Linked DNA regions of Anolis sagrei. The protein of the gene in region 3 interacts with the protein of the main gene of each other region in a pairwise test. Links are inferred from orthologs where the notes say so. Each region holds a gene or a part of one and is shown on either strand. Other genes may lie near its edges. The genes, in order: MAPKBP1, PPP1R18 and TEX11.

Evidence for each region.
Region 1: the proteins of TEX11 (region 3) and MAPKBP1 interact in binary tests that used the Homo sapiens proteins (3 or more experiments, as listed by UniProt). The two-hybrid records come from large-scale screens. The link is inferred for Anolis sagrei from reciprocal best matches to the Homo sapiens genes TEX11 and MAPKBP1.
Region 2: the proteins of TEX11 (region 3) and PPP1R18 interact in binary tests that used the Homo sapiens proteins (3 or more experiments, as listed by UniProt). The two-hybrid records come from large-scale screens. The link is inferred for Anolis sagrei from reciprocal best matches to the Homo sapiens genes TEX11 and PPP1R18.

The regions. Positions count from the first base shown.
Region 1 is NC_090021.1:288,091,046-288,094,796, forward strand, and holds the start of MAPKBP1 (mitogen-activated protein kinase-binding protein 1), read right to left. Parts: upstream 2,417-3,751; 5' UTR 2,118-2,416; intron 1-2,117. UniProt on the Homo sapiens protein: Negative regulator of NOD2 function. It down-regulates NOD2-induced processes such as activation of NF-kappa-B signaling, IL8 secretion and antibacterial response. Involved in JNK signaling pathway.
Region 2 is NC_090022.1:23,670,029-23,673,779, forward strand, and holds the start of PPP1R18 (phostensin), read left to right. Parts: upstream 1-1,415; 5' UTR 1,416-1,527; intron 1,528-2,289; 5' UTR 2,290-2,343; exon of another isoform or gene 2,344-2,347; intron 2,348-3,751.
Region 3 is NC_090030.1:21,733,105-21,736,855, reverse strand, and holds the start of TEX11 (testis-expressed protein 11), read left to right. Parts: upstream 1-1,009; coding exon 1,010-1,022; intron 1,023-3,080; coding exon 3,081-3,202; intron 3,203-3,751. UniProt on the Homo sapiens protein: Regulator of crossing-over during meiosis. Involved in initiation and/or maintenance of chromosome synapsis and formation of crossovers.

The DNA.
Region 1 (3,751 bases), on a different chromosome or scaffold from region 3:
AGCCATGGCAGTTAAAAGTCATGTCAAACTGTTATAATTCTGCATTGTGGTCTGAAGTAACAATGCATGCACACCTTGCTGCAGTCTTTAAACTGGCAATAACAGAAAACAGAAGCCAGCCCTACAATCAAAGTCTGGCAGCCAGATGAAGACAGCAGCATTTTCATGCAGGTTTTCTATTTCAACCTTCAGCGTATATACACTTTTTTGCACACACACACACACACACCCCGCCTACCCTTATCCCTTCTTGATGGAGGGGAAAATCACCAGGTGCCAAGAGAAGCAGAAGCCTCAGGCCTCAAACCCTCTTATTCTTTTGGTGACAAAGCTCAGTAAAGGTAGAAAAGCTCAGCAAATACTTTCCAAATTCCCTGGAAGACATTCACAGTGCCTTTGACTCCTCCTGCCCACAAAGGCAAGAATTGCAAGTCAGCAGCGCAGAGGGAGAATAAACCAACCTTAAGCATAAGGAGGAGAAAGCTGAAGAGTCTACCAGAAAACTATATATATGTGTTTGCCTTCTTTTTGTCCCTTTAAAATAGTGTGCGCACCTGTGTTTTAATTTAAAGGGACAGAAAGAATATATGTGTGTGTGTGTAGCGACAGAAGGGAGACATAGTGGGTATATTTATAAAAAGTAAAGGTTCCCCCTGACATTAAGTCTAATTGTGTCTGACTCTGGGGTGGTGCTCACCTCCATTTCTAAGTTGAAGAGCTGGCATTCTCCGTAGACACCTCCAAGGTCATGTGGCCGGCATGACTGCATGGAGCGCCGTTACCTTCCCGCCGGAGCGGTACCTATTGATCTACTCACATTTGCATGTTTTTGAACTGCTAGGTTGGCAGAAGCTGTGGCTAACAGCGTGAGTTCACCCCACTCTCCAGATTCGAACCACCAAACCTTTCAGTCAGCAAGTTCAGCAGCTCAGCAGTTTAGCCCGCTGTGCAGGGGGGGGGGGCGCTCCATGCAGTCATGCTGGCCACATGACCTTGGAGGTGTCTACGGACAATGCTGGCTCTTCGGCTTAGAAATGGAGATGAACACCACACCCCAGAGTCAGACATGACTGGACTTAATGTCAGGGGACTACCTTTACCTTTACCTTATATATATATATGGGACAGAAAAAGGCTATATATATAGATATAGATAGATATATATCTTAAAGGAACAGAATGAAGGCATTATAAACACACACATATATATGAAACTTAAAGGCACAGAAGTAAGGCACAGTGTATATGTGGATATACACTATATATATACATATATATATATATATATATATAGGGACAAAAGAACATACATATATGTTAGATTGACATCTAAAGAAACAGAATGAAGACATATACAGGGACAAAAAAAGGCATATTATACATATATATACACATATATACATAATGTGTGTGTGTGTATATATATAGAGAGAGAGAGAGAGAATAGGGCTCCACAGTCACCTACGAACCCACCGCCAGGACACCGAAGTTGGAGGACCATCATCCTCGGACTACGAGGGATCGCCTAAGTAAGTAAGTAATATATAGATACACAATCATATATATATATATAATGTGTATGTGTGTGTGCGTGTGTATATATATGTAATGTGTATATGATGCCTTGTTCCTGTCCCTGTATATGTGTTTGTGTATTTAAACGGACAGAAGGGCTATCTATCTATCTATCTATATATATATATATATATATATATGGGTACAGAAACAAGGCATTATATATACACACACACATATACACTATGCCTTATTTCTGTCCCTACTCACACACACACACACACACACATATATATAATTTAGAGCGTCAGAAGGAAGGCACATTTTCTTATTTTTATCTATAGATTTCGATTTAAATCAGGCATGGGCCAACTTGGGCCCTCCTTCCAGGTGTTTTGGACTTGAACTCCCACCATTCCTAACAGCCTCAGGCCCCTTCCTTTTCCCCCTCAGCCGCTTAAGCGGCTGAGGGGGAAAAGGAAAGGGCCTGAGGCTGTTAGGAATGGTGGGAGTTCAAGTCCAAAACACCTGGAAAGAGGGCCCAAGTTGGCCCATGCCTGATTTAAAGAGACAGGCAGGAATGAATCCCAAACCTTTGTTACCTGGGCGAAGAGGCAGCCTGGCTTTAAGGGCGGGAGAGGGACGACGGGAGAGAGGCTTTCCCCTCCTGGATGTCCATCCCTGCAGCCCGGCCTTCCTCCTCTGGAAAGGCTTCCCAATCCAATCGTAGAGAGCTGCTTCGGGGAGCGATAGGGAGAGGAGGCGGTGCGGGGAGAGAGAGAGAGAGAAGCCTTCAAACCACTCGGAGAAGCAGTCTGTCAGGGATTTCAAAAATGCAGAGGGAGGGAGGAAGCGGTGGCGCAACGCGGGTCCATTCCAGCCCTTCCTCCGCCTCCTTTCCTTCCTTGCAGGCTCGGGGCTCCCTTCTTCCCTCCCGCTCCGTGCTTCCCCTCCCGTCGTCTCTCGGCGTCTGGCTGCGGGATTCACCCTGACAGCTCCCAGCCAGCCAGAGTCCGACGCGGCTACGGTGGCCCACGCGGACCAAATCGCTAAACCGAGGGAGGAGGAGAGCGCTGCGAAGGGAGGGAGGGGGAAGAGCGGCAAATCTGCCAAGAGGAAAAATCTGCATCGAGAGAAAGGGTGGGCGCTTCAAGGTCCACCCCCCTGGAAGGAAGAATGCGGTTGTTTTTTTTTCTGGAGAAAGAAAAGCTCAGCACCATCACACGCTCAACACACCCCCTCCGATTGCCTCCTCTACACTGTAGAATTAACGCAGTTTGACACCGCTTGAAGTGCCACGGCTCATTCCTATAGAATCCTTGGAGTTGTAGCATGGATCTTTGTCTTTACTCTCCTGGTTTGTTCTTGGAAGGTAAAGACAAAGATCCGAATCCGGGGAGTGGGGTGAGCTCACGCTGTTAGCCCCAGCTTCTGCCAACCTAGCAGTTCGAAATCCTTGGAGTTGTAGCATGGATCTTTGTCTTTACTCTCCTGGCTTCTTCTTGGAAGGTAAAGACAAAATCCGAATCCGGAGAGTGGGGTGAGCTCACGCTGTTAGCCCCAGCTTCTGCCAACCTAGCAGTTCGAAAAAACACGCAAATGTGAGTAGATCAATAGGCACCACTCTGCCGGGAAGGTAACGGCGCTCCATGCAGTCATGCTGGCCACATGACCTTGGAGGTGTCTATGGGCAACGCCCGCAATTCGGCTTAGAAATGGAGGGGGGCACCAAACCCCAGAGTCAGACACTGGAATTAATGTCAGGGGAAAACCTTTACCTTACCTTGGAGTTGTAGCTTGGATCTTTGTCTTTACTCTCCATGCCAGCCACATGACCTTGGAGGTGCCTATGGACAAAGACGGCTCTTCGGCACCAACCCCCAGAGTCGGACACAACTAGACTTAATGTCAGTGGAAAACCTTTACCTTTACCTAAAGACAAAGATCCACCCAGAGGAAAAGTTTTCTTACCATGCATCGGGGAACCACTCAGGCATGTAGCGGGGGGGGGGGGGGGGCGCTCAGGGAACTTCAGCCCCCCCCCCCCCCCCCCCCCCCGAAATTCTCATGGTGGTTCGCAAAAAGGCCTTACTGGTGCATTACTTAAACTGTTATGTTTATTCATATCATTATCTCATCACCATACTCAATATATCCCATATGCATGGGGGTATTGGGGTAATGATACAAAAGGTTTGCTAGGCTAGACCCTCTTTCACTCAGACTCAGCCCCCCC
Region 2 (3,751 bases), on a different chromosome or scaffold from region 3:
CACCCCCCTCCGCGCCGCTGCCTGCTGCCCGCCAAGCCCCGCCCCCTTTTCATTGTCCTCCCCTCTCCTGTTTATACACAAAGACCCCCGCCTGCCCCGGTCTCCTCCTCCTCCCCCTCCCCTTCCTCCGCTCTTTCTTTCTTTCTCTTCTTTCTCCTTCTTCCCAATCTTTCCTCTCTTCTCTCTCTTCCCCCTTTTTCTCCCTCTCTTTCTTTTGCCTCCCTTTCCTCCCTTTTTCCCCTCCCAGTTTTTCCATCCTGGGTTAAAATAGGATTTGAGCCATGGGGCTGGGAGGTGGAGCTCGGCAGAGGATTTAAAAAAGCGGGTGTGCAAAGGGATTGAGAGAGAGAGAGAGAGAGAATCATTATTTTTCGCCTTCTCTCTCTCTCTATGTTCCTCGTTCTCTCTGAAAGGAGGAGAAAAAACTTCTTGGGAAGCAGCAAAAGGAAGGAGGTGGAGAGAGGAAAGAAAGAGAAGAGAAATCGGAAAGGAGGAGGAGGAGAGGAAGAGGAAGAAAGGAGGAGGAGGAAAGCAAGAGAAGAAGACAGAAAGAGGAGGAAAATAGGAGGAAGGAAGGAAGAGAGGAAGAAGAAAGGGAGGAGGAGAGGAGGAGGAAGGAAGGAGGAGAGGAATAAGGAAGAAAGAGAAGGAGGAGAGCAGAAGAGGAAGACAGAAAGAGGAGGAGAATAAGAGGAAGGAAGGAGGAGAGGAATAAGAAAGAGGAGGAGGAGAATAAGAGAAGGAGAAGAGGAAGACAGAAAGAAGAGGAGAAGAGGAGGGAAGAAAGAGAAGAAAAAGGGGAAAAAGAAGGAGAATAGGAGGGAAGAAGAAGAAGAAAAAGAGGGGGAGGAAGAAAAGAGGAGAATAGGAGGAAGAAAGGAGAAGAATAAGAAAGAGGGAAAGAAAGGAGGAGGAGGGAGGAAGAAGGAGAAGAATAAGAAAGAGGGGAGGTAGAAAGGAGAAGAATAAGAAAGAGGAAGAAAGGAGAAGGAGAATAGGAGGAAGGAAAGAAGAGAAGAATAAGAAAGAGGAGGGAGGGAGGAAGAAGGAGAAGAATAAGAAAGGGGGGGAAAAGGAAGGAGAAGGAGAGTAAGATAAGGAGAAGAGGAAGACAGAAAGAGGAGGAGAAAGGAAGAGGGAGACGAATAAGAAAAAGGAGGAGGAAGAAAGGAAAGGAGGGGAATAAGAGCAGGAGAAGAGGAAGACAGGACGAGGAGAAGAAGAGGAGGGAGGAAGGAAGAGAAGGATAAGAAAGAGGAGGAGGAGGAAAGGAAGAAAAGAGGAAGGAGGAGGGGGCGGAAAGGGACTGACTAACCAAACCCTTCCTCTGGCAAGGCAGCCCTGACTCAGATCCTCCACCCGAATCTCCTCCCTTCTTTCTCTTGCTTTGAGGGACAGAGAGTGGCAGTCAAGAAAAGGAACTTCTCATCCAGCTGGGATCATCTGCACTTCTTCCTCAGAGATGGACCCAGCGGAGGACCCAGCCCACCTTCTGCCCCACATCTCTTGGACCACCTTGGTTTGATAGTGAGTAGGGAATCCTTGTTTTGTTTTGTTTTGTTTTGTTGGCCCCGAGAGATTATATGGGGATTTCCAAGCGGGCTAAGAACCTTAACAAAATCTCCTTCCAAGATCTCCCAAGGGTTCTCATTCTTCGGAGTTGGCCTACTTATGTGTGTGGACAACCCATGCTGATACCGGTTCAGTTCCTCTGATTGTGAGGCGCCAAGACGGAAAGGGATCAGGAGACACAAGGAGGGGAAGAAAGAGCAGGAGAGTCTTGGATAGAGATCCTCTGCCCTCTCTTTCTATGGCTTATCCTTAGTCCTATATTGTTTTCATCCATTGATCAAAGGGATCTTTGATCTTTTATCCCTTCTCAAGATGCTGGGATTCGGTCGTTACTGGAATATATCTTCCTTGTTTTTATTTTTCCCAAAATGAATTAGAAAATCATAGAATCCGAGAGTTGGAAGAGACCTCGTGGGCCAACCAGTCCAACCCCCTGCCAAGAAGCAGGAAAATCGCATTCAAATCGCTCTCATCACCTGAATTCTTGGAATTCTCTGGATATAAGGGGTTCTTGTTGTGTGAAAATCCGCTCATCTGGCTGCTTCCATCCCTCGGATGCCTGGATCCGATCTCTGCTGGGATTTGAGCTGATCTTCCCCGCTGCCTTTGTTTCCTCCTCAGGAATCCTCGCTTTTGACCCAGTTAAGAACTTCAAAAGGCAGCGCTGGGTACCAAAGTCAATTTAGCATCCTCACCTGTCACTGTTGGTTTTTGCAGGCGTTTGAACTCCTGGGATTGCTTGAAATTTGGAAACATCGAGATCCTATTACAGTAGGTTTGTATTTTTTTCTCCCCTTATGTATGTCCTTCTTATGGTTCCCATGCTCTTCCTCCCTCCTTGCAAGATTTGTTTACCTTTTCAGTCTTAAAGTGCAGCAGCCTGACATGATAATGTTATTTCAATGTGTTGTCGAAGGCTTTCAGGGCTGGAATCACTGGGTTGCTGTGAGTTTTCCAGGCTGTATGGCCATGTTCCAGAAGCATTCTCTCCTGACGTTTTGCCCACATCCTCAGAGGATGCCTGCCATAGATGCAGGGGTGGCTCAACCCATTACGCAAAGTAAGCATTTGCAGTATAGTTGATTTTGCCCAGGGGCGCTCTTGAGGCGCTCTTGGGGGAAAATAGACCTTGACATATGCGAGTTGTAGTTACTGGGATGTATAGTTCACCTACAATCAAAGAGCATTCTGAACTCTACCAATGATGGAATTGAACCAAATATGGCACACACAACTCCCATGACGAACAGTAAATATATATCAGTGATTGGTGGGGGCGGAGGGGGCAAAATACTGTTTGCTTACTGTTGAAAATTATCTAGGGCCGCCTTTGCATAGATGTGTATGAAACCTCAGGAGAGAATGCTTCTGGAACATGGCCATACAGCCCAGAAAACTCACAGAAACCCAATGTTATTTAAGGTATTTAATAATACTGGACACTATGTTAAATATCATTTTATTTATTTATTTACTAGCCGCCCTCTGACATGCATTGCTGTGGCCTTGTCTGTGTATATGTGTTTTTGTGTGTATATATTTGTGTACATATGTGTGTGTTTGCGTATATGTATGTGGTTTTGCGCATGCGTTGTAATGTATTTTTTTTATTTTTTGGCTTTTTAAGTCCCTTCCAATATGTTTCCCAGTGTTTTTATGAGTGATGGTCACTCACAGATAGGTGCATTGTGTCCAAATTTGGTGTCAATTCACCCAGTGGTTCTTGAGTTATGTTAATCCCACAAACGAACATTACATTTTTATTTATATAAACTAGCCATGCCCTGCCACGCGTTGCTGTGGCCCAGTCTGTGTATATGTCTTTGTGTGTATGTATGTGCATATATATTTGTGTATATGTGTATATATGTGTTTTTGCACTTGCATTGTAATGTATTTTTTTCTTCTGCTGTGTTTTTCAGGGTTTTTATGAGTGATGTTCACTTGTTGGTCAGATAGGTGCATTGTGTCCAAATTTGGTGTCAGTTCATCAAGTGGATTTTGAGTTATATTAATCCCACAAACAAGCATTACATGTTTATTTATATAGATTATTTATTATTATTTTAAAATAGTAGTGTCATGTTTATATTTTTCATAAATACATATTAATCACCACTACTCAGTGGCTGGGCGCATAAGGTTCTATGTAACCTCTTAAAGCCAAATCCACTTGCCA
Region 3 (3,751 bases):
CACATTCATTATTATTATTATTATTATTATTATATCTATAGCAGGAAGAGGCAAGCAATAAAGTCACAATTATAATATCTATATATCTAACAGAGAGAGGCAGGTAACAAATTTATTATTATTATATCTAGATCTATAACTAGCAGGAAGAGACAGTTAATAAATTTATTATTGTTATTATAATTATATTATCTATATCTAGCAGGGAGAGGTAGGTAACAAATGCATTATTATTATTATATCTGTACCTATTAGGAAGAGGCAGGTAGCTTTTTTATTAATACTATTATTAATATTATTATATTTATATATCTAGCAGGGAGAGGCAGGGAATAAATTCATTATTATTGTTGTTATAGCTATATATCTAGAAGGAAGAGGTGGGTAATAAATGCATTCTTCTTATTATTATTTTATCTATATCTAGTAGGGAGAGGCGGGTAACAAATTCATCGTCGTCGTCGTCGTCATTATATCTATATCAAGTAGGTAAAGGCAGCAATAAATTCATTATTATTATTATTGTATCTAGTAGAGAGATGATGATTATGATGATAATAATCATCATCATTATTACTGTATTATTATATCTATATCTATGGAGCTTCATATGTGAAGAAACCTATGTTGTTGAAATATTTATCTTCTGCCTTCAACCCTTTTATGAGTCTTGCCAAAACAGCTGCCTAATTCAACATTAACAGAGAAAAACAAATTAATTAAAATTACTTTAGAGATGTCTTTGGAAAGATAATAATAATAATAATAATAATAATAATAATAATAATAATAATGATAATATATTTGCTTTGTTACTGGCCTCTTCTCATGAGCCAAAGTTACATAGTTAAAATAAAAAACATAAGGTCGTTAAAATACAGATATGAAATGGCAAAGGGTACAATCAAGAACAGTAGGCAAAACAAGTGGATAAACATGCTAATGTTATTTCTTTTTCATTTCAAAGGTGTTCCTTTTGCGAATCGAATCCTGAAGAGGAAAACAGATCATGGAAATCAAAGGTGCAAAATATCAAATACTTTCTGTTCTGCATATGAATGTGGCAAGAAATCTGTGAGAGGGGGGTCGGGAAACTCCAAAGTATAATTATTACTTTAATTAGAGAGTCTATTTTTGTATGAAACAAAGAAAGCAAAGAGGATCAGCCGCAAAAAAATGAATATTGGGTGACAGGATATATTATTATCTCTTCTCACCGAATGCACTTTGCAAGGAAACAGAACACTTCGGTTACACTGAATTTGATGCAGTTGTCGCACACTCATTGTAGTATTGTAGTTCATGACTTGTGGTAACTTTTATCCAGCACAAAGTGTTTCAGGAACAAAAAAAACCCTCATTCTTCATCAGGTTCGAGTCTAAAAATCTCACATTTTCCATTCCCACTTATTCTTCCTGATCTCTTGCTGGCTCCTTAAAACATCTGTGTTATATTTGAATAGAGAATGATGATAGGAAGAACATGACGTATCATTCACCATCAACAAATGACAACAACCGTCATGTCAGAAAGCTCAGAAGCTGAAGCTTTGGACCCAGATTCACTGTCTGTGTCTCTTTATGACAAAAGAAAACCAAACGTGTCACAAAAAAGATGGAAAAAGCTCCGGGAACATAATTTTGAGTAAAGTTGGAGAATGGTAGCATTAATTATCACAAAGTTGTGATCAAAGTTTATTTAATACTATTATTATTATTATTATTATTATTATTCGCCTTTCTTCATGGCTCGAGGTGCATTACAACATAGCTAAAAACATATAAACATCTTAATCATTCTATAAAATACACATATTAAAACACTTAATTTGTATGTAGAGTTCTAAGTTTTATAGGGTTTGTTATTACATCGAACCACAAGGAGAAGCGGGTAAGAAATAAATTATTATTATTATTATTATTAGATGCATAACAAGAATGGTACACAGCAAACGAGATCACTATGCTGGCTTTTGTATTTGATCACATGTACAACACTTCCCAAGTGTCTAAGACTGTGTGATGTATTGCCAAATAATGCGCGCAGATCCGAGTAGGGTGACCTTTTGCAGCTGACAGATGGTAATTTTGTCAGTGCCAATTGTTTTTAAATGCAGGCCAAGGTCTTTAGGCACTGCACCCAGTGTGCCAATCACCACTGGGATCACCTTTACTGGCTTGTGCCAGAGTCGTTGTCGCCATTGTCGTCGTCTTCTTCTTCTTCTTCTTCTTCTTCTTCTTCTTCTTCCTCTTCTTCTTCTTCCTCTTCTTCTCCTTCTCCTTCTCCTTCTCCTTCTCCTCCTCCTCCTCCTCCTCCTCCTCCTCCTCCTCCTCCTCCTCACTTATAAAGCATAGGATCCACATGAAAATGTCATTATTCCCTCATTGATAAATGGCAAATTCCCCAAGATTTGTTCTTCCTCTTCCTCCTTGTCTTTATCTTCTTCTTCGTGTGAATACTATTGTCGTTATCACTATTGATATTATTTATATTGTTATTATTTTAACAATTTCTTCCTTAGTACTTCAGCTATCTTTTTGTCCTTTTGGTTTCCTCTTGCATTGTGTTCATGTCCTTTGGAAGCTTGTTTAGACCAATATATTCATGGCCTTTGAGTGTTCCTCCATCTGAATAAATAGGAGCTTGCTTTTGGAATAATAATAATTATATGTCAAAAGGAGGGTATCAGGGTTTTAGAGAGGCTTAGGAGGGACAGGGCCACAAAAATTGTTGTGAACCATTGCTCAAAGCCATGTTCTACAATTTTTTTAAAAGGCTCATAGTATAGCATTGATCATTAATATGTTTTAATATTAAATGATGAAAAGTTGGGATACCTTAAATTTTTCAGATTTTCTAGGTACGGTACTTAACCCTAGAATGTCCAAGTCTTCATGCAACGTGTTTCCTTTTAAAGGTTTCTTTTGTTGTTTCCTCCAATGTGCTTGGTTTCTTGTTTGTTTCCTGTTTGTTTTGAAAGTTAGAAAATGTAAACAGGCTGGTTTGTTTGAAAATGATACATTGCCTTGAAAGCTACTGTATAACTTACTTTGGCTTTTGTTGTTGCTTTTAATTGCAGAGCTCATTGAAAAACTGATGAGCAGCAAAGCCTCATCTGATGTACAAGAAGACACTGAGAAGCTGTTCAGGGATATAGAACAAGTGAATAAAAAAAGTATAAATGAGAGGGAGAAGGCCCAGGTACAAATAGTACAAACATTGGTAAAGATCTCTGAATGTGAGCATGGCGATGAATGAATGTTTATATGTGTTTGAATACTGAGGAAATGTAATTTCCCTTTTTGTACCAAGTTAGCTATAGAATCTGCATGTGTCTACCTTCTTTCTTTGTAGTATACTCTGTCTCATTGTGAATGAAAGGAAATAACCTTTTGAATGCTTCTTAAAGTTTTTAAAAAAGTATTTGTGACATGGTATAGACACACCCTTGCTGTGTAGATTCTAACCACACAGAATGAGGGAAATGGCTTTTTCTCTTGGTTATTTGGTGAAATATTGAATGCCATACTTTCCTTTCAATATGCTTTAAAACCTTTCAGAAAAATAAAACTGGTTCTGAAAAGCAACTGAATAATGAGGTTTTTCTGGTGAGATCAGCTCGCCCACCTCCTTCCTGTCCTTCAGAAGGATAGTAAAAATTGGTTGTGGACCCAGTTTTCAGGACAGTGCAATAAAGCAGGGACAGGAAACCTTACCAGGCCAATTAGATTAGACACAGATGATCAAGAC